Struthio camelus: one gene and its partners. The protein of the gene in region 2 purifies or fractionates together with the protein of the main gene of each other region. This does not show direct contact. Links are inferred from orthologs where the notes say so. Each region holds a gene or a part of one and is shown on either strand. Other genes may lie near its edges. The genes, in order: LRP6, POMK, TMEM59 and GHITM.

What was found.
Region 1: the proteins of POMK (region 2) and LRP6 purify together in Homo sapiens (affinity purification with mass spectrometry; 3 studies listed by BioGRID and IntAct, counting the BioPlex papers as one, with this or other methods). This does not show direct contact. The link is inferred for Struthio camelus from reciprocal best matches to the Homo sapiens genes POMK and LRP6.
Region 3: the proteins of POMK (region 2) and TMEM59 purify together in Homo sapiens (affinity purification with mass spectrometry; 3 studies listed by BioGRID and IntAct, with this or other methods). This does not show direct contact. The link is inferred for Struthio camelus from reciprocal best matches to the Homo sapiens genes POMK and TMEM59.
Region 4: the proteins of POMK (region 2) and GHITM purify together in Homo sapiens (affinity purification with mass spectrometry; 3 studies listed by BioGRID and IntAct, counting the BioPlex papers as one, with this or other methods). This does not show direct contact. The link is inferred for Struthio camelus from reciprocal best matches to the Homo sapiens genes POMK and GHITM.

What each region holds. Positions count from the first base shown.
Region 1 is NC_090942.1:81,182,861-81,190,744, forward strand, and holds the start of LRP6 (low-density lipoprotein receptor-related protein 6), read right to left. Parts: upstream 3,004-7,884; 5' UTR 2,758-3,003; coding exon 2,703-2,757; intron 1-2,702. UniProt on the Homo sapiens protein: Component of the Wnt-Fzd-LRP5-LRP6 complex that triggers beta-catenin signaling through inducing aggregation of receptor-ligand complexes into ribosome-sized signalosomes.
Region 2 is NC_090945.1:5,509,353-5,516,814, forward strand, and holds the start of POMK (protein O-mannose kinase), read right to left. Parts: upstream 3,001-7,462; 5' UTR 2,850-3,000; intron 2,734-2,849; coding exon of another isoform or gene 2,515-2,733; intron 2,490-2,514; exon of another isoform or gene 2,133-2,489; intron 2,035-2,132; 5' UTR 2,015-2,034; coding exon 1,727-2,014; intron 1,178-1,726; coding exon 404-1,177; 3' UTR 1-403. Other genes in the region: HGSNAT (heparan-alpha-glucosaminide N-acetyltransferase), read left to right, coding at 2,515-2,733, 3,001-3,140, 3,675-3,796, 4,701-4,770, 5,410-5,479, 6,634-6,740, 7,213-7,289. UniProt on the Homo sapiens protein: Protein O-mannose kinase that specifically mediates phosphorylation at the 6-position of an O-mannose of the trisaccharide (N-acetylgalactosamine (GalNAc)-beta-1,3-N-acetylglucosamine (GlcNAc)-beta-1,4-mannose) to generate phosphorylated O-mannosyl trisaccharide (N-acetylgalactosamine-beta-1,3-N-acetylglucosamine-beta-1,4-(phosphate-6-)mannose).
Region 3 is NC_090949.1:32,523,782-32,531,779, reverse strand, and holds the start of TMEM59 (transmembrane protein 59), read left to right. Parts: upstream 1-4,994; 5' UTR 4,995-5,035; coding exon 5,036-5,242; intron 5,243-7,874; coding exon 7,875-7,980; intron 7,981-7,998. Other genes in the region: TCEANC2 (transcription elongation factor A N-terminal and central domain-containing protein 2), read right to left, coding at 1,209-1,402, 3,331-3,472, 4,729-4,827.
Region 4 is NC_090948.1:32,766,705-32,773,975, reverse strand, and holds the start of GHITM (growth hormone-inducible transmembrane protein), read right to left. Parts: upstream 3,005-7,271; 5' UTR 2,072-3,004; exon of another isoform or gene 2,055-2,071; intron 311-2,054; 5' UTR 281-310; coding exon 152-280; intron 1-151. UniProt on the Homo sapiens protein: Plays an important role in maintenance of mitochondrial morphology and in mediating either calcium or potassium/proton antiport. Mediates proton-dependent calcium efflux from mitochondrion.

The DNA of each region.
Region 1 (7,884 bases), on a different chromosome or scaffold from region 2:
TGAAATCTCAGTTTCCCCACTTACAAAGTTTTAGAACTGATCCGATGCTACAGCTTTTGCCTCTTTGCAGTTGTCAATTACCTAACAAGATCCTGACTGGATTCACAGCTGCAATGAAGAGCACAGCAAACTTGCCACGAAGCAGGTCAAGCTCAGTCCTCCAAGCCTTGCTTGGAGCTGCTCCCTGAACACTGCTCACGTTCAGAGAGGAGGAAAGCTCAATCCCCAACATCAGACCAGGAGCCAAGAGAGGAGTAAGAGGAGTAGAGATGTCAGACTGTGATGATGGTCTGGCAGTTTCAGAGAAGTGACCCCTTTCTTCCATCAAAGAGAATATGAAAGAAATTACAAAGCCTCCATAGCAGGCTGTAGTGATGTTAACCTCCTGGCCCTTACAAATCAAAATATCTGCCCTGAAAACAGCTACAGAATCTGGCTCATCACAGTCCTTGGACTACTTTGGTAGAGAGGTGTCTTGTACTGTGCACCTGTCTCTAGCTAGCAACTGCCTGGTACTTCTCCAAAGCTATAAGCTCACAGGACACTGCACTTCCAGGTTATCAATTTCAATCCTTTCCACACTGGTAAACGTATCTATCATCATTTCCTTTCCCTAGCGATCGTAGCTATCGTAAACCTCTGCCCATTTGCTTTTTCTAAGTCAGCGGCAAAAGGGAGGCTACTTCTCTAAGCGGAGAGGATTCTGCAATCCACAAATACATGCTATTAGATTTTCTGGGTTTCAGTCTCCAATACTTTGGCTTGGCACCTTTCACAGCACTAAATTTACAAACCAAACAGTGACCTTCAGAACTGCTACTTTCATGTATATACTTATTCATACTCACGCTGGCACTGCCTCTGCCTCATTAAGGAACTGCTGACACCTCTTATGAGCCAAACATATCTTATTCAAACCAATTCTACTTGCAGAGATGTTGTTTGTTAGGGAGGATGCATGCATTAAAATTTGATTTCTGTTTCTTCTGAGTTCAGCTGTTCCTGCTGTTTATATCTACCTAAGGTAACAACTAGCCAGTAGGAAAATTAATATCTTGTTACAAATAGAAGATGGAGACTTCAGGTAGGTGATCAAGCAGCAGGAGCACATGAACTCTGAAGAAACAAAGACACAATTTTGATACAAAAGTCCTTGGCAATCGACAAAGATGAGAGAAGGGGGAAAAAAAGAGACAGTCCAAACAGTTTACTGTGTTTTTTCAAAGTTCCTTATTAAGCATCATCAAGTAAATGAACATTCGCAAAAGGACATGTAATTATTTGGATATTAATTTGAAGAAGTGACAATAAGTGATTACTATTGTGTGACATTACGTATGACAGTGATTTTTTTGAGCTGTCATTCAAACTAGGTTAAACAGCAAGTTAGAGCCAGATAAATGTTTCATTAAGAACAGGTACGGCCGTTACATAACAAAATGAACCAATTGGAAAACAGTTCTTCTCTATGCTTCATATCCAACTGAACTTTTTGAAAATTGGATTTCACTGCTGCAAGAGGACCACAAAATGTTACATAGCCTATTTAAATAAATATACTTGTATCTTTGCAAACAGGATACAATATGGCAAACAGATGCACAGAAAAAAAAGGTAGGAGGAAGAAGAAATTTTTCCTTTTCTAGAGTACTAAGTAACTGGCTACCAAGCATCTCCTTCAACCCAAACCACCTTCACTCCAGCTTTCAAAACAAAATGATGGTGGCAATAGACTAATTTTCTAAATCAAAGTGTGGCTGATTTCTTTAAATATCAGCAATTAATCTTCTCTCCCATGTAGTATGAAAAAAATACAAACAAATAACAAAACGATGGATGCAAACATCACAGCTGCTTTCTCCCCAGGAAAAGCAAACACAGAGAAATGGATGTTGCCGTGAAGTATATGTGAAGTCATGTTGAGAGATGGGAAGGGGTATAAAAATTATATCAAGTATTTTAAGTGATATCCGTTTGTAGCGCACTGGAATGCTTATTTAAGGCTATATTAGCATTCATCACAACCCACCACAGAAACACAAACTTCTCTCAAGTCCCAAAACAGCCCCAGCAGAGCGGAGAGGAGCATTACTCCTCCTGCCAACTGCATACTGCACTTACTTCGGGTGTGTGGAAAATGTCAGTGAAATACTAGTTTTAACAGACTTTCGCCTTCTCTCGCTGAGTGTGTAGGGCTCCCCACTTCTCCTCCCGCGGGGGAGGGGGGGGGGGGAGAAAAAAAAAAGAAAAATAGAAAACGCTTTCTTTCGCGGATAGGGGGGAGGAGAGGAGAGGAACGTGATGACTGTAATAGCAATACTGGCGTGACGTTTTGGTGGTCGCCTCACCGGGGCTGCTCCGCTGTCCATCCGCAGCGGACAGACAGGCGAGGCGCGACCAGCTCGGGGTGCGGTGGGGTGGGGGGGCAAACTTAAACAAAAAAACCCACCAACAACAATAACCACCACCACTACCGTGCGCTGCCTGCCGAGCGCCCAGAGGGCTGCCCGCGAGGTGACCGCGGCGGGGGCACGGCAGGGCCGGGCAGGGCAGGCCGGGGGGGCGGCGGGGCGGGGAGCCCGACCCGACCCGGCCACCGGGGCCTTCCCTGACTGGATTCACACAACATGGCCCCTCGCAACAACCCCGTCAACTTTTCCTGCCCGCCCCTTCCCCCCCCCCCCCCCCGCTGCCCCGCTCACCTCTCATCAGGGAACAAAAACTGCAGGCGAGTAGGCTGCGCAGGACGGCCCCCATCTTCCCTCGCTCCCCTCTCACCGGCGGCGGCGGCGGGGAGGCGGCGGCGGCGGAGCAGGGGGAGGAGAGGAGCAGCCCCGCCGCTGCCAGTTCATACTTTCGGGCAGGCGGCGGGGAGGAGGAGGAGGAGAAGGAGGAGGAGGAGAAGGTGGAAAAGGAGAGGAGCAGAGAAGGGCAACCGCGCAAATCGCCCTTCGCCGCCGCCTAGCAGGCCGCCTCCCCCGCCGCGCCGCCACGGCAGCGGCCGCTTCCCTCCACGCCGGCCCGGCCCGGCCCGGCCCGGCCCGGCCGCCGCCGCCTCACTGCCAACGCCGCCGCCGCCGCTCCCCCATGCAGCCCCGCCGCTCGCCCCGGCCCGGCCCGGCCCCGCCCCCGCCCGCCGCGCACAGGCGCAGGGATACCGGCCTCCCCCACGCCGCCCAACGGCCGCCCCACGGCCGCCCCGCCCCCGCTCGCGCGCCTCCCCCGGCGCTGCCCCCGGCCGCCGCTGCGCAGTCCCCCCGCACTATTTCCTTTCCCTCCGCCGCTGCTTTTTGCCTTTTTCTTCTTTTTTTTTTTTTTTTTTTTGGGGGGGGGCGGGGGGGAGGAAGGTGCGATACGGCGCTCGGAACAACATCAGCCCTGGGAGGGACGGGACTACTTTCAGGCGCGGAGCGGCGGCAGGACAAAGGGTCCCTCCGCGGCCCTGCGGCTCCTCCTCCGCCTCCAGGTGAAGGCGGGCATCGCCGGGCTGGCCGGCCCAGAGCCCCGGCCGCGTCCTCCGAGGTCGGGCCGCGGGCCCGCTGCGGCGCCTGCCGGGTGAGGTTGTGGAGCCGGGCCTGCGCGCTGCCCCTGGGCAGCGAGCCGGGCCGGGCCGGGCCGGGCCGTACCTGGCCGCTCCCCCGGCCCAAATGGCGACGCAGCCCCCGCGGCGGCGCTGTCGGCCTGCGCGGTGCCCGGCCGCGTCCCTGAGCTTCCCGCCGGCCTGCTCGTGCTCGGCTTCGGGAGGCAGGGGCACCCGGCACCGGGCCGAGCCGCTTCATAGTACAGTAGCAGGCGGAGAAAGGGAAGAAGAAGGAAAAAAAAAAAGACCAAGCGCTCCTGGCGAAATGCAGTTACAATGCATGCCCCCTTGTGTGGGGACTGATAACCTTGATCTGGCCCAGGGCAGCGCTGAGATGCATTCCTTTATCAATAGGACCTTGCTGCTTGATTGATGTCGTGGCATGTGATTTATTTCGCGGCACTTTTAGGGGGATTCTGGTTTCCCCCCCCCTCCCCTTACTAAACTAAATGGCACAAACTACTACTCTGAGCAGTAGTTAGAAACAGCAAATGAATGCCAAAGAGTAGCTAATGTGCCGTGCTTAGGCATAACTTGCTCTTTTCACAAGCTATATCCGCTTAAACAGCCTTTTTCCTGGAAAAAAAGTTTGTGATCTTCTAACATGCCCTTGCTTTAAAACGCTTCCCTCCTTACCTAGTCTGTTCTTTTTTCCTAAGCACTACAAAATCCAACTTTCTTGTGTTTTCTCCAGTTTACAAACTCTACATGAGGACTTCTACAGGGACTGTTGATGTACGTGCCACTTTCTCTCTCACAGAATACGAGAGCTGTTCACTAGCGGAAAGCTATGAAGCAGAACAACTTGAAGCAAAATTTGAAATCCTTACATTCGAAAGCCTGTATTATTTTAGAGTTATTAGAAACTTATGGAAACATTTAACTTTTAATTTCATATCTGTTGAACATACTTTTTCATAGCTTTTCTTATGATTACAGTAGGAGATAACATCTGGGTCACATTAAAGGTCTGGGCACTGCAGATTGACTCTAGCATCAGGCTGTAGCTCCTGGAGTCGTGATAATACCAGACTCTGAACTTTTACTGGAAAAGAATAACAGTTAAAACCATCTACAAAAAGAAATACATTTCCAGCCTTCAAGGTTGCAAAAAAGATCTTGAAACTGTAAACAATGCAACTCAAGAGCAATACCTGCCTGAGGCCAGGTCTGCCTTACAAAATGTTGTCCTTGACTCTGCTGGGTGAAGTATCCTCCTGCGTTACGACAATGTCAGCTGGGAGCATGAGCAAACTCCAACGAGAGCTGCATAGATGGTTGAGGGTAAAGGCTTCCCACACAAAAATGTACCCAGACAGTAGATAACCCTCATCTTACCCTTGTCACAACTAGATGTTGCAGAAACAGGCAGAGGGAGTACAGTGTTCTGCTTGCTCTGTTTAATTGGAATCAGATAAAAAAAGAGGGTTGGGTGATTTTTTTTAGCTTACGCTATACAGTCATAACGTTCCTCATGCAACATATTTCTCTACATGCTATTCCCACTAGCATCTTATCTATTTTTGCTGGAAGCACTCTGGTGTCTTGACTATCTCCCTTGGGAGCCTGATTCCCCGCCTGTTTGCTGTCACTGCTAAAGACATCTTCCCTGCTGTCCAAGCTGACTGGTTTTATTTTTAGTGTTCATATGCTCCCACCCCTCCCATATATGCATTTCACCATTTTGCTGTAATTCAAGCCCTTTCCTTTCCTGATAGTCATTTAATGATAGTCCATTCTTCTAAGTTATTTAATGATTTTTGGCTTCCCCTACCTCAGCCTATCCCCTATTTCCCACAGCCTTTGTAGGGTCAAATCCTTCTACCTCTACTCAAGTGTAGGTAGCCTTTTTTGAACCCGTTTTCCCATCTATATTTAGGATTCAAGATCAAGCCGATATACTACAGTTTGTCAGCTTTACTTGTAATTCATTCATAGAATAAACTCCATTGCAGAGGTTTTTACAAAGTAAAATAGGAGGCAAGATTACCTGCTTCAGAAAGGCCCCTGACAGATAAGATTTCTCAAATATTTATTATGTTCCATTATTTGAGCTTGAAATCAGAATAAAGCAAGTGGGAGTGGAGAGGGATTGTCTGTTTTATTTTAGAAAGAGTCTCCTCTTGTTGATTACTATTATTTTTGTTTCTCTTAAAAACAGAAATCACCATTTGCCTGTTCAAATTCAGTCAGAGGCTTCAACAGCTAGGAAATCTGCACAGGTGTCCTTTACCTCAAGACTTAGCTACTAAAGCCTTTGAATCACCATCTAAGTAATCTGCTACACAGGCATACCCTTACCTCCAGCCTCAGAGAGTGATTCAATGATACAAGAGCTTTTGCAGGGGTGTTTTATACTCAGATTAGTTCCTTGGCCAGGTTCCTAGTGCAGCCTGACAAGCAGTTGTGTCAGCACACAGGACAGCAAGGAGTAGCAGATGGAGCTCCTTCAACCAGCAGCGACTGCCCAAGTCACCACATCTTTGAGCTATGCCCCGAGTTCCAGTGAAGGCAATGGGACTTTGTAGGACCAGGACTGAAGTCCCTAATGAGCAAAAGCTGTTGGTAGAAGATGGCTACTCAGCAAACGAATTTGGGCTGACCACATCACAGAAACCACTATCATAATTAGCTCCCTCACTGAATGTCTCGATGAGAATTAATGGGCCATGGCATGGTGAAATCCTGGTTCCCCTGAAGTCCATGGCAAAACTCTCACCAACTTCAAAAGGGCCAAGATTTCATACTGAAACTCAAGCTCAAGTCCTCTCTTGCCCCCAGTAGGAAAGTCTGGAGCACTATATTTTAGGGAATGGGACATGGCACAGTGATGACTTCACCAGTGATTTCTGCGTTACAACCGTTTAGCAGATAAATGGGAGACCCTAACTTCCAGCATCATTACCATGCCACTTTGCCTAGGTCGTACAGTTGCAATTTATAAACAAAAATCCTTCATCCAACACTTCCCCCAAAGGAGGTCAGCTCTAAGTAACTTAAGCATCATTTAATGCTAAAGGTGCTTGACAAGGATTATCCTGCTCCAAGAGTGCAATGGGCTCACCAGTGTCCTCCCTTTAAGGAACAGATTATCAGTTTATTTACTCCTTATTGAAGTTCAATCATAAGCAGAGGCATTTTGTCCCCCACTTTTACTGTCATACTATATGAAACATACTTTTTCAACAGGAGATAGGCAGCTTACCAACATGTTTCCTTGGCCTAATAGTCATTGCTGTATTCCAGAAGTTTTCTCCAGGCCCTGAGACCTCATTTGTCTTTGCAGTTATTTGCAGGGGTTCTCCAGAGCCTGTCAGTGCACAGCAAACACTATCACTCCCACTACTTCTGTGGTAATTTTCCCGTCAAATATCCTATGAAGTCCCCTTGTACCACATATAGTTGCCTCCTCTCCTTGTTCTTCATTACTATCTTATTTTTCCCCTGTGTAAGTATAATATCCATTCTTTTTTTCTCATCTTCTCTACCAGAAGATGTTGCCTGGTGCTCAGGGTGAGAACTGTGCATTTCTTAAAATGGCTAAAAAATTCCTTACAACAAAAACTTCACAGAGGAGAAGCTGCTTGAGCCTAGCAGACTGTACAGGCAAGCTATTCCAACAGGAGTCCGGTGATATCCCCAAAGGGAAATGGGAAATAGATGACCTCAAAGGCTTGAGCATTTTCTTTACACCTTTGGGGGAATTTTTGGACTGATGCTGATGGTGAATCCAAGGCCAGGCCATTTACCTTCTACTTCTTTTCTCCTCTTCCATCTCCTAGTGAGTTGAAAACAGCACTGCCTCTTAGCTGTAGCATTTTCAGTGTGAACTGTGCAGGATTCTGATTTTAATTTGGCACTGCCCACCAGACCACAGGGCAAACCCAATACTTGCCTTATGAATATTTAGCCATGGCTACATTTCAAAGCTGAATTATAAAAATGTCATTTGAGAAAGTTACAGTTCCAAAATTTGTAAAGTACTTTAATGCTGGGCTGATGCAGCTAAAATATCCTTTTAAAAGAGATCGCATTTCAGGCTGACAGGAACCAAAACACTTTTTTGTTTTAGTTTGCTAAAATTTTCAAAAATGAGCAGCATCTGGGCTCTATTAACCATAACGTGCGTGCATTTTAAGCAACAACAATTTAAAAATACTTCCTTTTCATAACCTTTTCATGGAGTTCAGCATTTTGCAATGCACTTCCATAATATTTACCAGTTCTGATTTGCACTCTAGCCTTTGAAGCTTAAAAATTAGTTACTGGTGAAGCATCGTGTATCTCTTCACACTATTTTAGTC
Region 2 (7,462 bases):
GTGGGGCTTGGGTCAGTCTCCGCTCTCCAGGCCTCTGACAGTCATTTCAAGTGGGTCAACATTTCTTTTTGCTTTCAAATTCTTTCCTGGTAAAAATGGACTTTTTTTAAAAATATAGTTTCCTGGGTTTTGAGGAAAACCCAGAAAACCCACCACATCCACGCAACTTCATTTCTCTTCTTCCCCCCCCTCTTCCAATGATAGATAAAACATGTTAATGGGAAACTCACACAGCTCCCAACATTGGGTGGAATTTTTTTTTAGTCAAAAGACAAAAGTACAGGTTTGGTGGTTCTTATCTTTTCAGTTTGGGGGATAGAGAGCTTGCTCCATTATAGTCTTCAGGCAAGCTAAATAAATAGGAAGGACACCAACTTCAGTCCAATGTTCGTCCCATGATTCTCTACAACATTTCCCTGGTACCAGGCATGGCAGCCTCCCGAATAAGCAGAGTCAAAACTTTCCTGTAGGTGTCTAAGACCTCTTGGGCAGAAGGCCTTTCAGCTGGGTCCTTCTTCTTACACGCTGCATGGATGTCAAACAAATGCAGTCGCACAATGTCACTCCCTTCTACATGGCCCAAGAAAAAATTGGAGACATCGGGGATTTTCCATATGTCTGTTTTCTCATCATAGGGGGGCATGAGATCATCATCAAATGGCACCTCTTCTCCGTGGGGCCAACGCTGCTCAGGCGCTACAAACTCACCCTGGAGCTCCCGATGACCGCACTTCACCAGGACGCCAGCACTCCTGTTCACAAGCGGCAAAGCATCCAAATCATTCACCAGGATGCGAAAGTCACTTGTGAGGAGATACTGAGAGAGCACCTTGTCCAGGTCATTAGAGTCACACATCACTAAGGTGCCCAAGGGACTGCTGTGCAGGAAACGAATGATGCTCACGTAGTCTATAGCAAGCGTGAACCTGCGATGCCAGGTGTTCAAGCCCTTGTACTTAGGCGTGTGCAGAGTTTCATTCAGGCCCCTCAGGGAGCCTAGAGGATGGTACTCGGTGAGTATTGTGAACTGCTTCTCACAGTAGCCAAGCAGGCGGACAACGTGCTTGCTTTGTAGTGCTTTCAGCATCTTCAGTCCGTGGAGAAAGTCCTCCTGCAGCTCTGAGTTGGTGAGCTGTGAAAGGACCACTTTGTTTTCCTTCCACTCAGAAAGAAAGACCTGAGAACATGCAAGAGACGCCTAAGACATGTGGAGCCTTCTCCAATTACAGTTACTGGGCACAGTCCTGTGTTAACACATGACAGCATTACGACAGCATGAAGCCTTTAGGTAGGCCCCACATACCTGGGCTTACAGATGTTGTAATTACAGCATGCAGTAGATCACAATTTCTTCAGTTTTTCTTTGGAATGGGCACTACAGATGGATTAAATGATCAAAGGATTTCATCCCACCCAGTTTGTATCAGCCAGTCTTTATCTGTCATGATTGCATCACGCCCCACAAGCACTTCACCCAGCCCCGTGATTTTGCTGGCGTAGCTGGATGCCATTGGGTGCAAGCGAGGTAGAAATTGGCCCCAGGACCCGCTGTCCTACCTCTTTGGCATAGCTTACCAGTAGCCATAGTCCTCTGGATGTCTACAGCAACTAGCTGCTGTGGGGATCTTAACAGCAGTATAGACATTAATCAGCCAGCTAATATTGCAAGCTGTTATGCTTACGAGTTTTTCCACGGGGTGGGGAAAGAAAGGAAAACCAAACTCACCTTTTTCACAGCTCCTTCACCAACACATTTGAGTTTCCTTACTTCCTTATTTATGGCTTCACAGGACAGCCATGGGGAGCAATTTTTCGCCGTTCCTAATTTGAAGTACCCAAAAGGGCAGAGGCTGGGGTCCGTATCAGCACGTCCAGAAGAGCCGTAAAAATTGTTGAGGTACAGATAGAGAAGGCCATTAAGGAGCAGGACGGTCACAAGCAGCAGCCCCAGCAAGACCAAAGGTACCTCCCTTTGCAGAAACTCTCTTTTAATGAAGTGCGATTTCTTTTCCATGGCACTGCCTTCTACATTCTCTGTAAAAGACACAGGCAAGAGTTAGCAGGAGAAGTCTTTCTGGGCAGGAGATGCCCAGGGATGGATGTCTGCGGGGCTTTTCCATTGCAGGCTATACCATTGCCTTGCAGACACCATAACCTCGAGCGGAGAGCCTGATCTACGAGAAACTCCACGACCCGGTGCCCAGAGCGGATGTGAAAAGCAGCTGGGAGTTTGGCAGCTGCCTCAACATCTGGCTGTGGTTTCCCAACACGGCGCTCACGCCGCGCGCAGGGCTCTTTGCACAGGGGCCCTCGGCGCTGCAGAAGGAGGAGGGGAGCCGGCAGGAAGGAGGCGCCGCGGCCGGGCGTTGCGAGGGAAAATCACGAAGGGTGGAGGGGAGGGGAGGGGGAGGGGTGGGCGGGAGGGTGAGCGTACTTCCCGGAGCGGTGCCGCCGCCGCCGCCGCCTCGGCCAGGCCCGGCCCGGCCCCTGCAGGCAGGGGCGGAGCGCGGCGCCATGGCGGCGGCGGCGGCGGCGGCGGTGGTGGTGGCGGCGGCGCTGGGCGGCGCGCTGCTGGCGCCGGGCCCGCCGCAGGCGCCCGGCGAGGGTCCGCGGGCCGCCGCGCCCCCCGCGGGGCCGCCGCGGGGCCGCATGGACCAGGCGCTGCTGCTCGTCCGCAACGCGCTGCCCGGCCAGGGCCTGCGGCTCTCGGCCGCCTCCGCCGCCTGCCACCAGGTGAGCGCCGGCGCCGCCCGGCTCTGCCCCGCCGCTTCGGCGCTTATATCCCCTTCCCGGTGGAATCGCCGCCTTTCCCCACTTCGGCTTTACGGTGCCGGGCTACCCGCTCCCACCTGCGGAAGTCTTCGCTTTTTACTGTTTCCATGGGTCGCTCAGCAGGATCCTCTTTTCCTTTTAAATCACCAGAGAGCAGCCCGCCGTGGGTGGTGCTGTCGGCTCCCGCTGCGTTTTCCGGGCCCTCAACTTGGCTCTCTTCTTTCCTAGTGCTCCTATCAGTTTCTGGCCTTCATCCCGGCAAGGAACGAGAGCCTGAGAAAACCGAGCACGGTGACGGTGGCCGTGGACACCCAGCATCCGCTCACCCTGCTGCTCGATGGCTTTTCAGGAGACAGAGAGCTCTGCACGTACGTGGCTCATCCCTGGGTAACGCTAGGATAGCTGCCTGCTATATTTGGTTGGTTTTGGTTTTTGTTTTGTTTTTTTTTCCTCCCGCTATGCACCTAGGAATTACTGCCTGCTCATCACCCCCTTTTTCCTGACTGTTTAGGCCCAGAAGTCAGTCTTCCTCACACTGCTCTAACTACGGCTCATGTTATAATTGTGCCGAAAGGTTCTAGGCGCAAGCAGGAGCCAACACGGTACATGTTGTGCCAGCATGCGCGTCCACCTGTGCCTAGTTTCTCTTGCACAGAAGCTGCAGTTCAAGCAGACAGGTGATATAGGAGGGCTTGCGGGCAAACCGCATGCGTGCTCGGCTTGGGGAGGGTGACCTTGGCAAAGGTGGGACCAGGTAGCTCCTTGCTACGTCACTCCCTTAGGCCGAGTTTTCAGCGTGCTTTTCCTACAAGCGTTCAGGCTTCGAGTCCCCAAATGCTGCTGTGGTACCTGCGCGTAGCAGTGATGTGCTCAGCAAGTTTCATTTCCTTTATCCTTTGCAGGATTCATTATCATTTTGGAGAATTTGGCAATTACTCCCTCGAGGTAAAGACCCTAAGTAGAAGCACCCAAACCGTTTCTTGTGACCTAATCATCAACGAAGGCCCTATCAACAGCTACCTCCGTATGTAATGCTCTATTTTCCCCTTTCATTCGACAATTTGCGTGTCTCCCGGCAAAACTGGCTTCCTAAAAGCCCCTGCAGCCAGTTGTGCTGTGCTGAAGATGTGTCGTGGGCCTGCTTCTCTTCTCTCGCAGCTTGTTACCTCCTTATGTTTCACACCCTTCATAGTGAGGCTCTGACCAGGATCAGGCCTCTCACAGGAGATACTGGAGAGCGCAGCCTCTTTGGAGCAGGGATTAGTCCAGAAACATCAGTGGATATGTGTCTGGAAGGAGACATTTTAGTAGCTAGCTCCTGTTTCCCTGCATGTATATATATGTACACAGGACCCTCCCGCTTCTTCTCTCTTGTCTTGCTTCTCCCACAAAATGGAAACAATTTGTGCAGTGTTTGGATTTTTTTTTTTAGTTTTAAACCTGTTGTCTTGCTTTTTTTGTTTGTCTGTTTTCCAGGGCTGTTTGAAACGATGATCAACATCTTTTCCATTCTTTTTATTAGCTTATTCTCCAATCCTTCCAATTCTCTGACTGTAAAGAAATATCCTCCATGCTTGCTAGCTTGGCGTATTACCTCTCCTCTTTGCACTGAGGCCATTTCTAAATCTCTCGCGTTTCTTCGTCATCGGCTCTTTCTTCACCATTGCCTTGTGGTGCAGTGCAGTTTATTTTGCTTTGCTAATGCTGAGCTCTGCAGTCACTGAGCTGCACTTCAAAACTAGCCTATTTTTGTTTTCTTTTCTTTTCTGTGGGACTCAGGCTGTGGCTATGTATTGTGCGGAGGAGGTGGTGTGACGAATGGTGGGTTGGGTTGGTTGTTGTGTTCATATCTCATGCGGCCAGACCCAGGCTGCTGAACGGCTTTGTTAAATCAGGTACAGAGTTGTCGTCTTCTCTCTATCATGTAGCTATTCTGTTTGCGTTCCTGGTTTACATGGGGATCCTTGCTATCGTGATTGTTGGACGCCTTTTCATGAAGTAAGTGAGCAGTATTGTAACGCCTGAAATGGGTACACGTGAAATGGGGCGGCTGGTTTAAAAGCTCTTCTTGTAGCGTGGTAGTGCTTCGGAGTCCCGCTGGAGCCCTGCTGGCAGGTCCTCTCCCATTACCAGGCTGCTATGCACAAGTTAAGCTGTGGTAGCTGTCCGTGTGAGAATAAAAGCCGAGTGATGAAATTTCTATTGAGGAATATTTTACAGCCGCGTAAGCTTGTGCATAGAGCATTTGCTGCAGAGCAGCTGACATCCACTGTAAGCTCACCACCCTGCCTCACCCTTCCTTGACTTCTTCATGGGCCTAGCCCTGAATCAGCAATAGAAGTCAGTGAGACTTCAAGCATATTTAACGTATGCAGTCTTCCATCCTGTGTGCTGGATGAGATGAGTTGTCCCTGCCTATAAACAACCCAAGAATAAAGCCCCCAAACCTGAGCCTGTAGTGTAGGGCAGTGTAGTAACAGAACTGGACTTAACTGGGGCTGCAGGTACTGCATAGTGTGTGTGACCTGGGAAAACAGAAATAGGGGCTGTCTCAGCTTTTGATTTATACTGCTAAATAGTTGATATTAAGATGAAATTGGTTATGAGGTACTTTTTTTAACTGTTACTAATTTTCAGAATTCATCCAGTCAGGAATTGGGTTTACAAGAAACTGAATCCGAGAGAAACTGATCGTCTGATTAATTCCGTGAGTGGCCACAGTATCCTTAATTTGCAGTCTGTAATGTTTCCACCTCACGGTGAGTCACACCACCGTGGCGTTTTGGAGCTCATTAATTACTGGTCTTGCTCCCCTTGGCAAGTGTTCCCCTTGGCAAATCTTCACTGAGGTCAGACAGCCAATTTTTTGTCAATGGAGAGCACTAGACTGGGTTTCCATGCAAGTTTAATGGATTCCCAGCAGAACTCTTGCAAGTCTTGAACATCCAGCTTTCTGCCCTGTTTAGTTCCACTGAAGGAAACATCTCACTGAAAATATTGTCCCGTTCTGACACAAGCAGCGTAAGAGAAGGGAAGTAATGCCAGCTTTCGTGTCTGCTTGCAGCACAATAGGAGTCTTACGGGATCTGCACTTGAGGCAGGATTTCTCTAGCAGCCCTAGAGCTGGCATTTCTGTGTATGTGCCATGTTTTCTACAGGAAGATAGCAAGGTCATCGCCATCTGGGCTTCACGTTTAGGAGGTCAGAACCTGACTGGAATTGAAAGGGCTGCGAGCAGAGCTCCTCAGTGATTTTTGTAGCTGTTTGTAGCTATTTTGCAGCAGTGTCCCCTTCTTTATACTGTCACTGGAGCTGATTGGAGCGATTTAGGGAACTAGACAAGGAAGAAGCCACTCCTGTTTTTAAACGGAGTTTCTTCTTTTTTCCTGCCAGTTTAGCTTTGTAATCAGTCTCTCTGTGCTGTCAGACAAGTGCTGATGGGATGGGATGGGACTGATCCTTTTCATCAGAGTCAGCAGCTGGATTTGCTCAGCTCTGTTGTAAAGCAGCAATCGAAGTAACAGCAAGTCTGTGGCTGATTTAGATTGAGCCCAGCTCTCCTGAGCGTTCAGGAGAGGCTCTTTACACTGGACTATTGTTTCCACTGTGGTCAAAGGGGGAGTGTGAAACATCTGCATTTTTCTGACATGAAAGTTGATTGCAACGTGGTTGAGCCATGAAGGGGTGAAAAATAGCAAGTGGGGAAGCAAAAGGAAGAGAAGATGGGGAGAACAGACACAAACACAGTAAGTTGTGTTTGAAAGTTTGCAGGAACCTAAGCCTTAGTTTGCTGTCATCTGTTCCCTAGGCAGTTGGTGCAGCTACTCACTTCCCCTTCATGTGTCTGGTTTGTTCCCTAAGGAGCTCGGGTCCCCAAATGGAGTGGACTCCCTTAGCAGCGATCCCTCACAGCATTTGTGGAGTGCCATCTCTCAGCAGCGGCTACGTTCCCTGGACACATTCCGAGGGTGAGCAGAGACTTTCCCCAAGAGCTGCATTTCCAAGGGGAATCAGATTTTCCAAAGGTGGTTTGACAATGTATAGGTTTATGTAGAAGATGAAGAGTTCGGGGTGGGGGGTGTCTGTTTTACTAGGAAGATAATCAGGGTTTTAATTCCTGGATTTTCTGAAACACTTTGAAGTTGAGCTCATCTGAGGAAGCATTAAAGTTGCAGTGGAAGGTGGGAAGGAACAACCTCTTTCTCAGTGTGAACATGCTATGTGAAGGAGCTTACTTTGGTTCACCAGTACCTCTGATCTTTGAAATGCTGCCTCCCGGGAAGCAAAGCTGGAAGCCTTGTACATAATCTTGTTTTAAAAGTAAAATAAACCAGATTTACAGTTAGAAATGTTTTAATAGGGTAAGCATGAACTCTGCGCTCATACATATGTATTTCATTGACATGTGGTACTTTCTGTGTGTGTTTGTTGTCTTTATAGGCTCTCTCTTATAATTATGGTGTTTGTTAACTATGGAGGAGGAAAATACTGGTTCTTCAAACATGAGAGCTGGAATGGTAAAGTACAGCTGAGACAGTTATTCAATAGCAGTATCTAGATATGGTTAGGACTGCAGTTGGTGCAAAGAGCTGTGGCTCAGCTGAAGGCCAGGAAGCTGTTCCATTTTGCATCAGCACGGTGTCTGGACCATCGGCTAGTAGGAGAAGCACTATATAGTGCTTCTTTTCAC
Region 3 (7,998 bases), on a different chromosome or scaffold from region 2:
TGCCCTCTTTTATTCTCTTTTTGCTACCCCTCGCTTAATTTGCCCCTCTGTTGGGCTGCGCTAGAAGCCCCTTTGTGTCCATTCAGCCCCATTCTCCCTTCCTCCTTCTATCAGCCCTTTCTCAGGTATCCCTGCTTTGCATTTGCTGGGCCTCTGTGGCTCCCCTGCTTATATATGCTATTCATCCTGCTGATGTAAACTCTATTTGCACATATGATGGTAGCTGCAAGCCAGAGGAGTATTCTTTACCACACTTTCAGGTGAGTTCTGTTCAGAAGTGATTCTGCCTGGTCCCGCCCTCCCTAATACCACTTGTTTTAGGATAGTACCATATCTATCCTCGTCTCCCATAGGTTTACACTTTACCACCAGCATTATCACTATGCATAGACACGTTTCCCAGAAACCTGATTTGACTAGCAGCCTGGGAAAGGTAAGCTCTCCATAAAATCTCCATTCTGAGACCTTCCCGCAGCAACCCATCCTTTTGCTCTGCCTCGGTCCAGATGAACTACAAGTTGGAGAGGCTGTTTTCATGGCTGACAACACATAGCTTTTTAACTTTGCTCTGAAACTCTTGAGCGCCTACCTCTTGACTTGCCATTCAGAGGATAATTAACGAATAAACTAAATGATAATTATTACAGAGTTTCATAGAGCAAGCAAACTGATCATTAAGCCTTTCAGTAAATCCTGTTTGCTTATGTAGAGATACCAGAGGGATCTGGTATTTAGCACCACTTTATATACTGTCAGCCTATGTCAACTCTATGTTTTTGCAATAGATTTCAATTTGCTCATGCTTAATTACTTAAATACAAAACATCCAAAAGGTCCCAGTGTTGCTTTTGCAGCTAATAAGTAGCAGGGAAAACTGTGCGTTCTAACTTCCTTCTTCTCCTATGCAGCCTAGCTGCAGTAGATACGCAACTGTCCCATTTGCTAGTTATGTAAATGAGAGCAATACACACCTCACTTAAAACAAACACGTTCACTTGGTCAAGAACAAAAAAATCTCCCTTGAAAACAAAGCTCCTTATAAATACAGACATGCTGAGAATCAAAGCAAACAGGAACAGGTCATTAGCCTTGTCCTCATCCTGCAGGCAGGATCAGCTTTTTAGTAACTATGTCTGGAAAGGGTTTGTCTAACTTGTTCTTACAGGAAGTTACTCTTTGAGACGAAGATGAATGGACCTGAACACTACCTCTAGATCCAAGGCTTTGCAAAGCATCTTCCGCGCGTTCTTTCTGAAAACCTCAGTCTTGGGATCACTCCTGACTTCTATTGAGGGTTTGTTTGAATGGTCTTTGATGAAAGTTCGCCACTCTGTGTAAACATCCTTTGCAAGGCTGGCCACATCGTGATCTGAATGTTTGCGCATCTTATTCACTGTGTGACCTGGAAAACAGCAACAGCTCATTCAGCTTTGGTAGGTGGGCAAAATATAATGGACAAGAGTGATGTTACAGTGGAGCTAAAGCAGTCACACAAGTTTGTAATTCAGACAGTGACAGCACAATAACCAACGCACAGGCATAAATATAAACATGAAATCACTAGGAGCAGACCCTGAAGTTTTTATTCATTGACCTCTGCAGTGATTCCTGCAGGGCACTGGTGAGGCCATGTCTGGAGCACTGTGTCCAGTTCTGGGCTCCACAGTACAGGAGAAATATGGAGCTATTAGAGGGAGTGCAGCAAAAGGCCACAAAGATGATTATGGGGCTGGAGCATCTGTCATGAGGAGAGACTGAGAGAGTTGGAACTGTTTAGCCTGAAGAAGAGAAGACTGAGGGGGGATCTTATCAATGTGTATAAATATCCGAAGGGAGGGCATAAAGAAGACTGAGCCAGACTCTTTCCAGTGGTGCCCAGTGACAGGACAAGAGGCAGCAGGCACAAACACAGGAAGTTCCCTCTGAATAACTTTGGGGGTGACTGAGCACCAGAGCAGGTTGTCCAGAGAGGTTATGGAGCCTCCATCCTTGAAATATTCAAACCCCAGTGGAACACGGTCCCGGGTAACCTGCTCTAGCTGACCCTGCTTGAGCAGGCAGGTTGGACTAGATGATCTCCAGAGGTGTCTTCCGACCTCCACCATTCTGTGACTTTTGCCTGAGCAATTACCAAGCAATTGAGTAATCTTGTAAGACTGGTCTACAAGAAACACTTTTTTTTTTTTTTTATTAACTAAAAAACCCCTTAAAGAAGCAGATGTGGCAGTGAGGTTTATCACTGTGATGTTTATAATGTTTTAACATGAGAACATCATGGTGCCTCCAAGCAGAATCTTTCCAGTTGACATGAGTAATTCGTTCAGCATGCCGACACCCCAGGTACTACACTGGGGCCTGCCAGTGCAAAGAGACTTTCCTTTGAGAGGAGAAAGAAGAGATCCTTTTCCAACTGGGCATTTTTCTGACCTACCTGTCACGCTAGCAGTAGTGTCTGACTGGTGTTAACACTACTGGCCAGAAGATGTCACTGTTGGTCTTCTGTGGCTTTCTTACAGCCCAGCAGTGCTCAGGGAAGCACTGGGAAAAATCTCAGGAAAAGGCTGAACGAGCTAAAAATGGCAAACTAAATGACAATCCAGAAGGAAGAAGAAAGAGGCAGATCCTGTCTCCTTTTCCAAGGCAAGGAGGGCTCTTTGAATAGAGATCCAGCTGCTCTAATGGCAAACAAAGGTCAAAATGACTTTCTCTCGCTTTGGGGTACTTCAGATACTCTGTGTCATATATGATCTTCACAGACAGGAAAGGCAGGGTCCATGCGGTCTCACATTATTCCTCCCCCCAAGTCCCCACACGGTCAAGCATAGGGCTGTGTTAGTTGCATGGAGCTGCCTATCAGTTGAGGATTTCTCCTTGTGAGAATGCACTAAGCACTTCCGGGGCGTTACGAGGAGAATTCTTGCACGTTTGGAGGACTCAGCCAGGTCTGATGCATAGGCCCTGTCTCAGACCGCAAGGGAGCACTCTGCCATGCCCCCAGCAGATGGCAGCAGAAGGAACAACACACAGACGTGCCTGTGAAAATCTCTTCCAAAATGCTGCCACGGGAGGAGTGATGCAATATTTAGTAGTAAGCAGGCAACCTTCATGTACAGGGAAGAATTAAAGGAGTGCTGACTTTTTTCAGTATGAGTTATGAAAACTGCAGGCTGCGTACCAAGAATTTTTTGTACAGAGACCAGGTAAACCTTTTGAGACGACTGTGACACTCTTTTCTTAAAAAAGGCCTGTGAGCTAGTCCCTGGCAATCTGAGCAGCAAAGGATGCAAGACAGTCTAATAGTCACACTCTAGATCAAGCAACAGGACATACCTATTTTTGTTGAAAGTAACACTTCCTTGGAAGGTATTTTCTTTTTCAGCTCCTCCAAAGCTTCAATCAGATTCTCTTTCGGTTGCCCTGGAAGCTCAAGCATAGATTTCCATCGTTTTATGTCTTCCACAACCACAACTCTCTGGAAAAAAGAAAAACCATTAGGAAAGTGGAATATTCCTACTACAAATAAAGACATTGACTTCATTTCAGCTACTGGGACTGTTATCGACACAGGAATTATTGATTATGACGTGAACCAGAGCACAGAATGCATGGCAGTCTGGAATGATGGGTATTTGCTCGATATTAGCACCCTACTGCAAATCAAGATAGAAGTAAGTTGAAGGCAAAGTAATATGCTTAATCTTATTCTGCCAAGCTCAGGGCACTTAACAGCAAATGTTTGCTACAAGAGAGGTGTTCTGAATTTAAGGAGTCTGTTGTATAAATGCTTCATAATAGAAAAGGGGATAAGAAGATAGGAAGGCAGCTAATTATATCATCCTTAGCAGCCTGGCAGAATCTGAATCTTGTTCAGATTGGTTTTAAAGTCAAAATTATGTCAGCAGAGAGAGAAATGAAGCATCAGGAGCAGCATCACAATCTCAAGTACACCGGCTGTTTGCACAGTGTTTTTCATTTGAACTGTTTATAGCAGGACTCGCTAGAAGGGACTGCGAAACGACGCCAGTCTCATTGCATTCCAGATGTCAGGCCTCTTACAACGGTTCAGCGATGGTCAGACAGCTGATGCGCTCTGTGCTCTATCCTCTTGCTTTGTGCCTTACACGAACAACAGGCAATTGTGTGTGTGTGTGTGCTGTTTCTGCAAAGAGGCAGCAAAGCGGGGCCCAGGTCCTACGTAAGGCAGGACCACTGTGCACCCAACAGCAGGCCTCTCCGGGGTACTCAACGTCCTGGCCGGAGAGAGAGGCAAGCCGCAAAACAACTCTGCGGCTGCCACAGGTGCCAGCCGCCCCTGCCCCGCGCGAGCAGGCCGGAGGGCGCCAAGGCCTACCCCGTCTCCGTTTCGGGAGTCCAGCAGGCCGCTCCCTGCGAGGCCGCCGCGCCAACGCCGCAGAGGTGGCGGGAAGGAGCTGAACCTACCTGGGCCCGGAGCGGCGGGCGGGCAGGGGTGCTGCAACCAACCCCCCCCCCCCGCCCAAAACACCACCCCCCCACACCCCCCGTGGCGGGTTTCCCAGGCGCTAAGGGACACCGGTCTCAGGTTGTTCACCCAAAAGCCCCCCCCCCCCCCGGGCCCTCACTGCCAGCCTCGCTCCTCCTGAGGTGATTTCCCCCCCCCCCCCGCCCCGCGCACAAGGCCTCGGCCTGGCCGCCCGCCCCAAAGCCGCTCTCCCGCGTCCCCCCCCCCACCGAGGCCCGGTCACCTGCCTTGAGGGACTCGAGGGTGACCTGCCGGTAGGCCGCGGCGGGGGCGGCCCCGCGGGGGCGGCCGGCGACGCGGGCCCCGCGCACCACGAACCGCTCCATGCCCCCAGCCGCCCCGCCCCTTTCCGCCGGGTAGTTCCCGCCGCCGGCGCGGCCCCTCGGCGTGCCTGGCCCCGCCCGGCGGCGAGGACTACGTTTCCCAGCAGGCGCCGCGCCGCCGAGGCGCGGGAGGGGGGGTAGTCTCGCGAGACGTCAGCGGCGCCCCCGCCCCGCCCAGCCGGGGCGCTGCGGGAGGAGGAGGAGGAGGAAGATGGCGGCGCGGCGCGGCGGCCTGCTCTACCTGCCTCTCGCCGTGGTGCTCCTGGCCGTTGGGCGGGCCCGGGCGGCTGGGCCGCCGCTGCCACCACCACCCCCACCACCCCCGGGCTCCTCCGAGGCTTTCGACTCGGTGCTGGGTAACACGGCGTCGTGTCACCGCGCCTGCCAGCTGACCTACTCCCTGCACACCTACCCCAAGGTAGGGGCGGGCCCCGCCGCGGCCCTGCCCGCCCCCCCCCCCCCCGCAGGGCCCCTCGTCTCCGGCCGGGGACGGGCAGGAAGCAGCCGTTTTGTTTCCGCCTCAGCCGGAGGGGCCCTGGCGGCGGGCAGAGCCCTTTTTGGGAGGCGAGCGTGGGGGCAGCCCGCGGTGCGGGCGTGCTCGGCTCCGGTCGGCGTGCTGCTTGGTTTTGGGGTGTCTGTGCCGTCCGGCTGAGGTGCTCGACCCCTCGAAGCAGGGGATGCTGTGGCTTTCCCGGATGATACGTGTTTCTCCTCGGAAATACGTGCTTAGCGCGCTGCGAGCCGAAGAGATGCCGCAGGGTCTGAAATACCTCTTTCAAAGAACAGTTTGGTTAACTTGTGGGTTTGGGGTCCTTGCTTTTTCTTCTTCTTTTTTTTTTTTCCCGTCCTATTCCTAAAGAGGTGACTCCTCATTTGACTTAGGCTGCCCTATGTCTTAGAGCACTAAAACAGGACAGTGTCCAAGACAGGCTAAGGATCCTGAGCCAGGACATCAGTGCAACACTTGAGTTTTGGAGGATGGAGCATAAAAAATGGCAGATGAGTAGCTTGACAGACCCTGTATTTTGGATTCACTTGCCCAGGGAATTTTCCCTCTTATGAAAAAGAGCCTGGAGAAATAGCCTCGAAGGGCAATATAATTTCCCACTCCAGAGTTCACTGTCAGTTCAAAGCTTTGTACAGTTCTGAGCTGCTGGTTTGAATTTGGAAAATCCATTACCCGTTTCAAAATCTCATTTTTCGTGGTTCTTTCTTGGCAAAATATCTTTTTATCTATTGCAGCTATTGAGCAGGTTGAATCCTAGGTTATGGGAACTTTTATACCACCTTTGAGGTTTCACGTGAAGGCAGCAGGCGGTAATACGGCAAAAAGATGGTAGCACTAGTATCAGGTAATAGGTCTTTGTTTTCATATGAAACTCTGAATTGGGTTTTGTGACTTGGTAGCTGATACTGGTATTTCCACAGAGGGAAATAACAGGGAGTTGTGTGGAATAACAGTAAATTTGGATCTGCACATATGATGTGTTTTGGTGCCTATGTACAGTGACAGTGAGGAGAAAGAACAAAACCTGAGAATTTATTTAGGACTAAACGTTATCCTAAAATATTTCCATGTTATTTTAGAGTAATTTTCTTGTTTTTGTTATAGGACCCTTTCAAGTTCAAGAAAAACTGATTATTACTGTGATTTTTTTTTTTTTGCAGTACTTTTCAAACTCTTTCTGTTGTGCTGTTGGAGCTGTCGAATGATACAGCCATCTCTTCCATTTCATTTAGTCTTTGTTCCGTTTGTCACAAAGCTACCGGTTAAATTGGAGGAAATTGTTTTAATTGCCATTGAAAAGCAAGACAAACATTGAGACCTGTGTGCAAGAGTGCAATAGAAACATGTCTGCTAAAGTTAATTCAGTGTGGATATCAATGTACATAACGTTTTCTGGAACAACATAACTATCTTAACTCTAACAACACTGATAACATGGCTAAGTTTGAATCTATGTTCCATTTTCTACTTTTGTAAATTAAAAAGCATGCGAACTTGTGCTTTCAGAGAAGCACAATGGCCAGTTCATTTACAGTGGATTGCACAGTAAGGTGTGGTATGTTTGTCTTCTCTTCTATGAATTCAGAGTTTTTTTCCGTGTGTGAAGCAACTGGCTGCAATCATTTGAGTGGTTACGTAGGTAATGGATTTGATGGATTTGATTTTGCTGAGTGATCGCTAATAAGAGTGCTCACATAAAGCAGGCAGTCATTAGTTCTGCAGCGTGAGGAGCACCATGTGTGGGAAGTGCGCGTCCCTGCCTTTGATATGGTGGATAGAGGAAATACTGGGTATAGTTTTTCTGTACTGGCATAATCTCAATGTTTTTTATAGTTACCATAAGGGATTACTTTCCCCTTCAGTTTGATATAATAAATAAAAATACATGTTTATGGAACTAGTTTGGCAAGTAACCGGTTAACCGGGGTACTGGTATAGAAGATAACCTTCTACTTTGACAACTGTCATAGTTCTAATTAGTGTACAGTAACTATATTGTGATGTGTTGTCAAAATATGTCTTTGTTTTGCTCCTCACCTGTTGGGTTCTGATATTAAACTTTTGAGGGGGAGGAGTGTCAACTTCTTGTATGACTAAATGAAGGCTATTGGAGTATGTCAGGAAAGGTTTTTACAGCCAGTATCTCTTATTTTTTAAACCGTCACTTTTTCAGAAACGCAGTGTAAGTTTACTCTGAGTTGTAGGAGGCTGGAATGTACACAACAGTATTTGCTGTTCAGTCTGCCCCACTGCAGAATAAGGAGTTCTATTTGAAATAAAGAAATCAATAGTTATATTACAGTGTTACAGAGCTATAATTTGGTTTGGTTTCATATCATCCAGACTGTCATGTTTAGCTGTCTTCTGGGTCTAGTGTAGGGGAGGAAGGTGATAGGGTGATGCTCAAGTGGATCACTTTCTATAGCTCTTCCGAGGAGGGGGGGGGAGAAAAAAAAAAAAGCGAGGGGAGGGGGGGAGTCTTTGTTTCTTGACATGTTATTTTTGGATGGAGGAATGCAAGTCTCTTCTTGTGCCTTCCCAGGAAGAGGAACTGTATGCGTGCCAGCGAGGCTGCAGACTGTTTTCCATTTGTCAGTTTGTGGATGATGGCATTGATTTGAATCGGACCAAACTGGAATGTGACTCTGGTAAGAATTCAGTACTCC
Region 4 (7,271 bases), on a different chromosome or scaffold from region 2:
TCACTTAGAGCACAAAGGCCATAAACAAGTGGAAGGCTCATGATCATTCACAACAGAGATTACCTGCAAAGTGATTCTTTTGGGGAAAAAAAAAAAGCCATTTGACCCTTTAATACATGAGCAATAAGAAACATTAGAAAAATTACCTCACCTGGCTAGGCTGCCACAGCCTGTATGCTTTTATATTGGTGTTCCTCAAAGCTGGCGAAGCCTGAATAATGGCAGGGCGGACAGCCTGGCATGGTAACGTCCTCAGGCATACTAGCCTTGCAGCCAGCATGGTTGCTTAAACGGTTAAGACACAATATTCCTGCAAGTGCACAAGGAAAACATACTTTACTATTTGGTTACTCGGTTTTCAGACAAAACGTTACACCTAGTCCTCATGCTTGACTAGGCTGCCCTACATAATAGAAACAGTACTAATACTGAAGTATTGTAACTTAAGAACACTCTAGCTCTTTTAATATACAATTTCACTCTGTTCTATCTATATTTGTCTCCCAGTTCAGTCAGAGACTTATCTCCCACATCAAGGTTCTTCCTTTAAAAAACAGAAGGACAATACAACTTCTCATACATATGGGTTACATCAAGACCCGTTATGCGCTCATAAAGGGCATCCAGTTACAGGCTCGAGTTACTTTGGCAACTAATTCCATTTTGAGAAACAACACTGCATCAACTTTCTGCCCTCCAAAGAGCAAGAAGTGTTCCAAATTTACACAGCCATCAGCTAACTATACAGTCAAATGAGCCCACAGCATAATATACGTGGCAGACAGTTTCAGAAAAAAAGTTTTTAAATCCTATCTTTGAAGGATTAGCCAGTATTATGGACAGTGCATTTAGTCAAGGTCACAAACCTGAGCGGATTCCCTAGGACAGGCAAAGATCAGCCTGAATATACTATAGGTGCTATTAAAATTGCCAACTCTCCTCTATAAACACTGCATATGTCACTTGTAAAAGAAACAAAATCCTCCTAGTTTCACATACTTTATATCTACATATAATCTCTTTTTCCAAAAGACACCCCAACTATCAGTATACTTATTCTAACAACCGTTTATAATTTATATAGTGTCAGATATAATTTAAGAGTACAATGAACAAAGATAACTTCGAACATGAATGAAAAGCGAGGACCCACAGCATTAGACACTGCAGATCAACTGCAGAGAAGTGAAAAATGAAACAAAATAGTTTTGCCACTACAAAAAGCCACGCTTCTTTGAAGCTTAGTTACGAAATCCTATTTATGCAAGACAAGTATTTTCAGAGACACATCCTAGTTGTTCTACTAAACCCCAACACCACACTCAGGAAATACTTTTCAGAACTTAGTGACTGCTCTTGTGATTTTTTGTTTTTTAGAAGCTAATTTTTCCAAACGTTACATTAACAGGAAAAATGGGTAACTGCACAAGATTAAAAACATAAAACACTATCAACATTTCAGCATTCCTACTGGGAAATGCAGCAGCAAGAAAAATACTGTGAAGTTACTGCCGCACCATACCATAAGGAAACCAGTTCTACTCCAGGGAGACCTACCAGAACTGTACCTTGAGGGAACAAGGTCAACCCTATTCACTATGTCAGCCAAAATGCCTGCGTACATTCCTCCCCCCCTCCTCTGCAGCCACCTTCCAATTCATACCTCTGTTATCTCTAAAATTACTACAGCAAACCACAACGAGTTAGGCCTCACTATCGCTGCCGTGCACAAAACACTCCCAGACGGCCTTCACAAAGGCAGACACGGCAGCAAGAGGCACGCGAGGGGCAAAACCTCGGCCCCTGAAGCGGCCTTTATTTCCCTTGATTTCCCCAGGTCACACTCTGCCCTGCTCGACCGCCCGTGCCGCGCGGCCCAGCCGAGGCGACGGCGGCGCACAGCAGGCCAGGCCAGGCCCGGCCCGGCCCCCTCCGCCGAAGCAGCCGCGGCCCTCAACAAGCGTTCCCCCGCCCGCCCCGCGGAGACAGCCCGGCACCGATGAAGAGCCGCCGGCCGGCCGGCCGGCCGCCCCCCTCCCCGCACCGCCGCGCACCCGCCGCTCAGCCCCACCGAACCAGCTCCGCCGCCGATCCCCCAGGCCGGAACGATGCCTCGGTAGCGGAAGTCACGTGTGGCGCCTGCCGGAACCTCCGGTGACTGGCTCGCTGGTCCCACGTGACCCTCGAGCACGCAAGCGCCATTGGCTCGAGGCGGCCGGGCGAAGCGTCACCCGCAGCCGTCAGGGAAGGCGCAGGAACCATCTTTAATACGGCCAGAGAAACTTCTGGAAGTCATCTTCGATAGGGCTCTGCAGTATTTGCGGTCTGGTTTCTGGTCGCGCAAACAACAACTGAGGCCCTGTGCTCTGCGAGCCTGACTCGGAGGGCTTTCAGCGGCGCTTGCCGCCCTGAGCGAGGAGGCAGAGGCCAGCCGCCGCTATCTCGACAGACGGCAGCGCTCGCTAGCCGCCATTTTACGCGCGGCGGCTGAGCGCCGGCGCCGCCATTTTGAGTGGGGGCAGGGAGGCGCTGGGGGCGGGCTGGGGGCCTACCCGGGCGCGCCACGCCGGCGAGGCAGGCGCGGGCGGGTCTGCTCCTGGGTCCTGGTTTGCTTCCCCTCGTGGGCTACGTTCAGCCCCTGCCGTGCGTGTCCGGAGGATGCTCAGCACGCGTGTCTCGCCCTCTTCACCGCACCGGTACGGAGCGGGGTCCCGTGCGTTGTGCGCGCTCCGGTTTGTAAAGGAGTTGCTGCCTTTTTCCAGCAGGTGGCATGCGCTCTGTGAAAATAAATGAGAGCAAAGCTTTAAAAGTTAACTTTACCTTCGAGGAGTGTCATAATCCGAGTTGTTCTGTGCGCTTTTGCCCTCCATTTTGTCAGCGAGCAGCTCGGTGTGCTGACGCGGGCGTTAAAATGGCAGGGAGCGGAGGCTGCCCGACTGCTGCGGCGTGCCAAGGAGGGCCGAGGGGACCCGAGCCGCTGCTGGTGCCCGCGGTGCTCCCCTGGGGCTCGGCCTGCCCGCGGCTGCTCTCCCCTTGCCGCTGGCTGCGTGTGAGCTAACGCCCTGCTCTTCTCAGGGCGTCAGAAAGCTCAAGACCTTTCCATTTGCTTCCCTTTACACCTGAGTGATTTACTCAGAGCTGGGAGGTATTTCGTCCTTTTTAACCCTTTCTTCTTGGGGTTATACCTGTTGGCGTGGAGGTATTACCTGCTTTGGGGTGGGAGCGCCCGGGGTGCAGATGCCAGATAAGTACAAAATACGGTGCTGTACGCGCAGCTCAGAGGGAGGTGTGACTCCAGCAGGACCAACCCTAGCCCTCACCCTGCCCGGGCCGGGCCTCGCGCAGGGCTCCCAGCCCTGCCAGAGCCTCACCGTTCCCCGGGGAGAAACCTTTCGCCACCATTGATTTTCTGCCGGCAGCTTCTTTCCCGCCTCGCTCCAGCTGGGGCTCTGGGCTTCTTTTCTGTTATTAACATTAACCCTAAGCTGAGCCGTAGACAAGGCACAGCAGCGTTTCTCTAGACTGTTGACTTCCTCAGGGGGTTTCTTCTTTGCAGCCCTCATTTTCCTGCGGCAGCTCTTTTCCAGCCCTGCTCCAACTGTAGCTCTGGCTTTTTCTTTCCACCAGCCCTAACGCTAAGCCCAAGCCCAGGCCAAGCCAAAGGCCAGGGACACTGCTCAGTCCGGAGACTCAGTGTTGCTTGTGAGCAGAACTCTTTTCACAGCTCTCTTTCTCCTTGGTCGGCTCTTCTCCAGCCCTGTTCCAGCTGCGCTTCTGGCTTTCAGTGCGGACCCTAACCCTAGTCTGAGCCACGAGCCAGGGACTGACTGTTCAGAAACGCAGTAGTCTTCAGAGGAGAATTGTTTTGGCAGCCCTAAGTTTGCTTTGGCAGCCCTTTTCCAGCCCCGCTCCAGCTACAGCTCTGTAGCTTCTTTCAGCCTTAACGCTACATATGGGCATGGTTCTTCAGAGCCAAGTGAAACAGACTGAGAGCGCCTTGAGGCCAAGATCAAAGGCAAATATAACAGAAAAGGTGTGGAAAAAAGAATGAAGTACAGAAATAGAGAAAACCTGTTAAGGATCATGAAATTAGCCTCCCTATACCTTGGAGTTTCCTTTTATAAACTAAGAAATAGACTATACTGACCTGCTAGTTTGCAAAATGAAAGTCAGATAAGAGAGATCAGATGTGGAAGAGGTCTAGAAATGCAATAGCACATGCAATCTTGAAGAAGAATTTGAATGAAGAGACTGAAGCAGAAGAATGTACTATATCAGGGAGGAAATTCCATAAGAGGGGGCCAAATCCAATGGGATTCAAGGTCTGAGCCTTATTTTCTCTGAAGCTTATTTACTTTCCTTTGTAGTAAATGAAAATCCAGGGCTTTGAAGTCTGTAGCCCCTAGGTCTTCTACAATTGCAAAAAAAATTTGCCAGTTTCAGGCCATAAATAGGTTGTTTATTTAGAGGCTTACAGTGTTTATTTTAGAGTTTGTAACACTCTATAATTGTTATGTACTAAAGGATTCATTATAATAATTAGTATTTAAATTTATAATTCAGTTATTAATAGTAATAATTTATGCAAGGAATCAAACTTATCTCTCTCGCTACAGCATCATAATCATGTAAAAAAATCTCCTGGGACTTTCAAATAAGATCATCAATCCAGCTCTGTGCCAAATTGTTTCTGTAATAAATAGTTTTGCCAGAAGCTACCAAATCCACAAAGGGCCCATAGTGCAGCAAATTCAGCAGTTGAGACTTTTTCATATAAATTCTTCTGCTAGCAGATACTCCTCTTCTGCTAGATGGTCAACAAATTTAAATGCCAGCTAAAGCACTGATTGTTAACAAGTGGAAAAACAGTGGCCTGTTATGTAAGCAAGTCCCAATCCATCTAAGAGCTTTTGAGTTAAAACCAGCAGGTTGGAGCCTATCTGTTGGTGCCACCGTAAAATTATTGTTTTTCTCAGACAGGAAGGCAATAGCTTCAGTCACCACGCAGCCTCATGTTACTGCAGAGCTTCAAAGCAGCTGGCTGGGCTTTTGCAGTAGTTCAAGCTCATGCTGTCAAAAGCATGGATAACAGCGTGATAGCAAGGCTCATTGGTGAGATGGCAGCCAAATGCACACATAAAAATTTGCTGCTTAACTCCGATGCACTGTTCCTTTATGGCATTGTGTTCAAATGCACTGTGCATCCAGCACCTGGATCAGGGACCAGGACTGATCAGCATCTTCATTAATGTCCTAGATGATGGGCAGAGTGCACCTTTAGAAGGTTTGCAGATGATACAAGACTGGTGGTTGTGCTGCCATTCAGAGGGACCTTGACAGGCTGGAGAAATGGGCTAACAGGAATTTCAAGAAGTTCAACAAAGAGAAATGCAAGGTCCTGCACCTGGGGAGGGACAACCCCAGGCACTGCAGGCTGGGGCTGACCAGCTGGAAAGCAGCTTTCCCAGAAAAGGGCCCTGTGATCATGGAGGATACTGAGTTGAACGTGGGCCAGCAATCCACATTGCCTTGTGGCAAAGAAGGCCAACGGCATCCAGAGCTGCATTAGGAACAGTGTTGCCAGCAGATCAAGGGAAGTGACGGACAGACGTGGAGCTACTGGAGCGAGTCCAACGAAAGGCCGCTAAGATGATTAAGGGACTCGAGCATCTCTCAGAAGAGGAAAGGCTGAGAGAGCTGGGACTGTTCAGCCTGGAGAAGAGAAGGCTCAGGGGGATCTTACTTGTGTGTATCTGATGGGAAGGAGTAAAGGAGACAGAGGCAGACTCTTCTCAGTGGTGGCCAGTGACGGGACAAGAGGCAATGAGTACAAATTGAAATACAAGAAATTCCATTTAACCATAAGAAAAAGATTTTTTACTGTGAGGGTGATCGAACACTGGAAGAGGTTGCCCAGAAAGGTAGTGGAGTCTCCATCTTCGGAGATATTCAAAACCTGATGGCATGGTGCTGGGCAAGCTGCTCTTGCTGGCCCTGCTTTGACCAGGGGGCCTGGACCCCAGAGGATCTCCAGAGGTGCCTGCCAACCTCAACCATTCTGTGACTCTATGCAATGTCAACATAAAGATGATTCCTGAAGGACCCTCTTTTTTGAGGGGGGCTGATATGCACCAATAAGAATTGCTTGGAAAACAGTAAACATTTTCCTCAGGCAGTATGTATGGAAATGATGACATTTCTGAAGAAACAAAACTCTTCAAAAAATAAAAATCGCAAAGATACTTTGAAAGCGGTGGAACATTTCTTCGGAAATCAAAAGGATAAACAGGGATACTCAGTGATACACAGCTTCCTATAATTTCAACAGACCATGTTTTCACTTGCAAAACGTTTTGTATTTGCTGGAAATTTTGTAATTATCTAGGCAGGATCTAACACAGTTAATGTGCAATTATATATTTTGCAGCAGCAGGAAGCACCACTGAGAAGGAAGTCGAGTGTCCCTGAAGCCCACCATCCCAATGCATGGCAGCTGGGAGGCAGCAGGGCAGACCCCAAACCCTGCCGCTCGGCAGGGCAGGAGCCGGGGGAGGAGGGCGAGAGCGGCGGTTCATCAAACTCTGCTGCTGCCATGGCATAGGGGGGGGAGTTCCCCAGCTGCCGTGTCCCAGGGAGGCTGGACTAAATGCCAGCAGCCCTGAAGGGACCGGTCCGAGCCCCTGCTCAGTCCCCCCTCAGGTCTCCTGCGAGAAACATCACGTATTTCCAAGCAGTGTAATCAGTCTGTTCACACTGATAACTGGTTCGTTAAGGGGTTTCGTTGTCTTGACAGAGAAGTGCAGACGGCCAGTAGTGCAGTCCTCTTCCAGGAAACACCGTGTAACGTATTTTCAGCTGTGCGCTCTGCCTTGCCAGTCACCCTAAACAGGACCGTGACAAATCCTTATGTTTAGCCCAGTGCAATCCGGGAAAGCAGTATGAGCCACAACAAGCCCCTAATTGTGTTAATAAATAGGGTCGCTGTGAATTTTGAAGTTTAACCTTATAATTCTGCAGCTCTGACATCCTCTTGCAGAAAGAGACAACCTCATCAACTGTTCACATGGCTGTGTTCATCAGCAGAAAATAAATGAGTCTGGAGGTAGCAGAATTTCTCCTTAGGGTGAACTTTGCCATTGAAGTTTTTCAAATTAGAGCTGAAGAAAAATGTTTTGAATGCTTTTTGGCTGTGTTGACTGTAGCGTTTCAGATCGCTGTCCCAACATGTTACAGGGGATTTTCAAACTTAATCTGTAGCTCCTGTTTTTGTT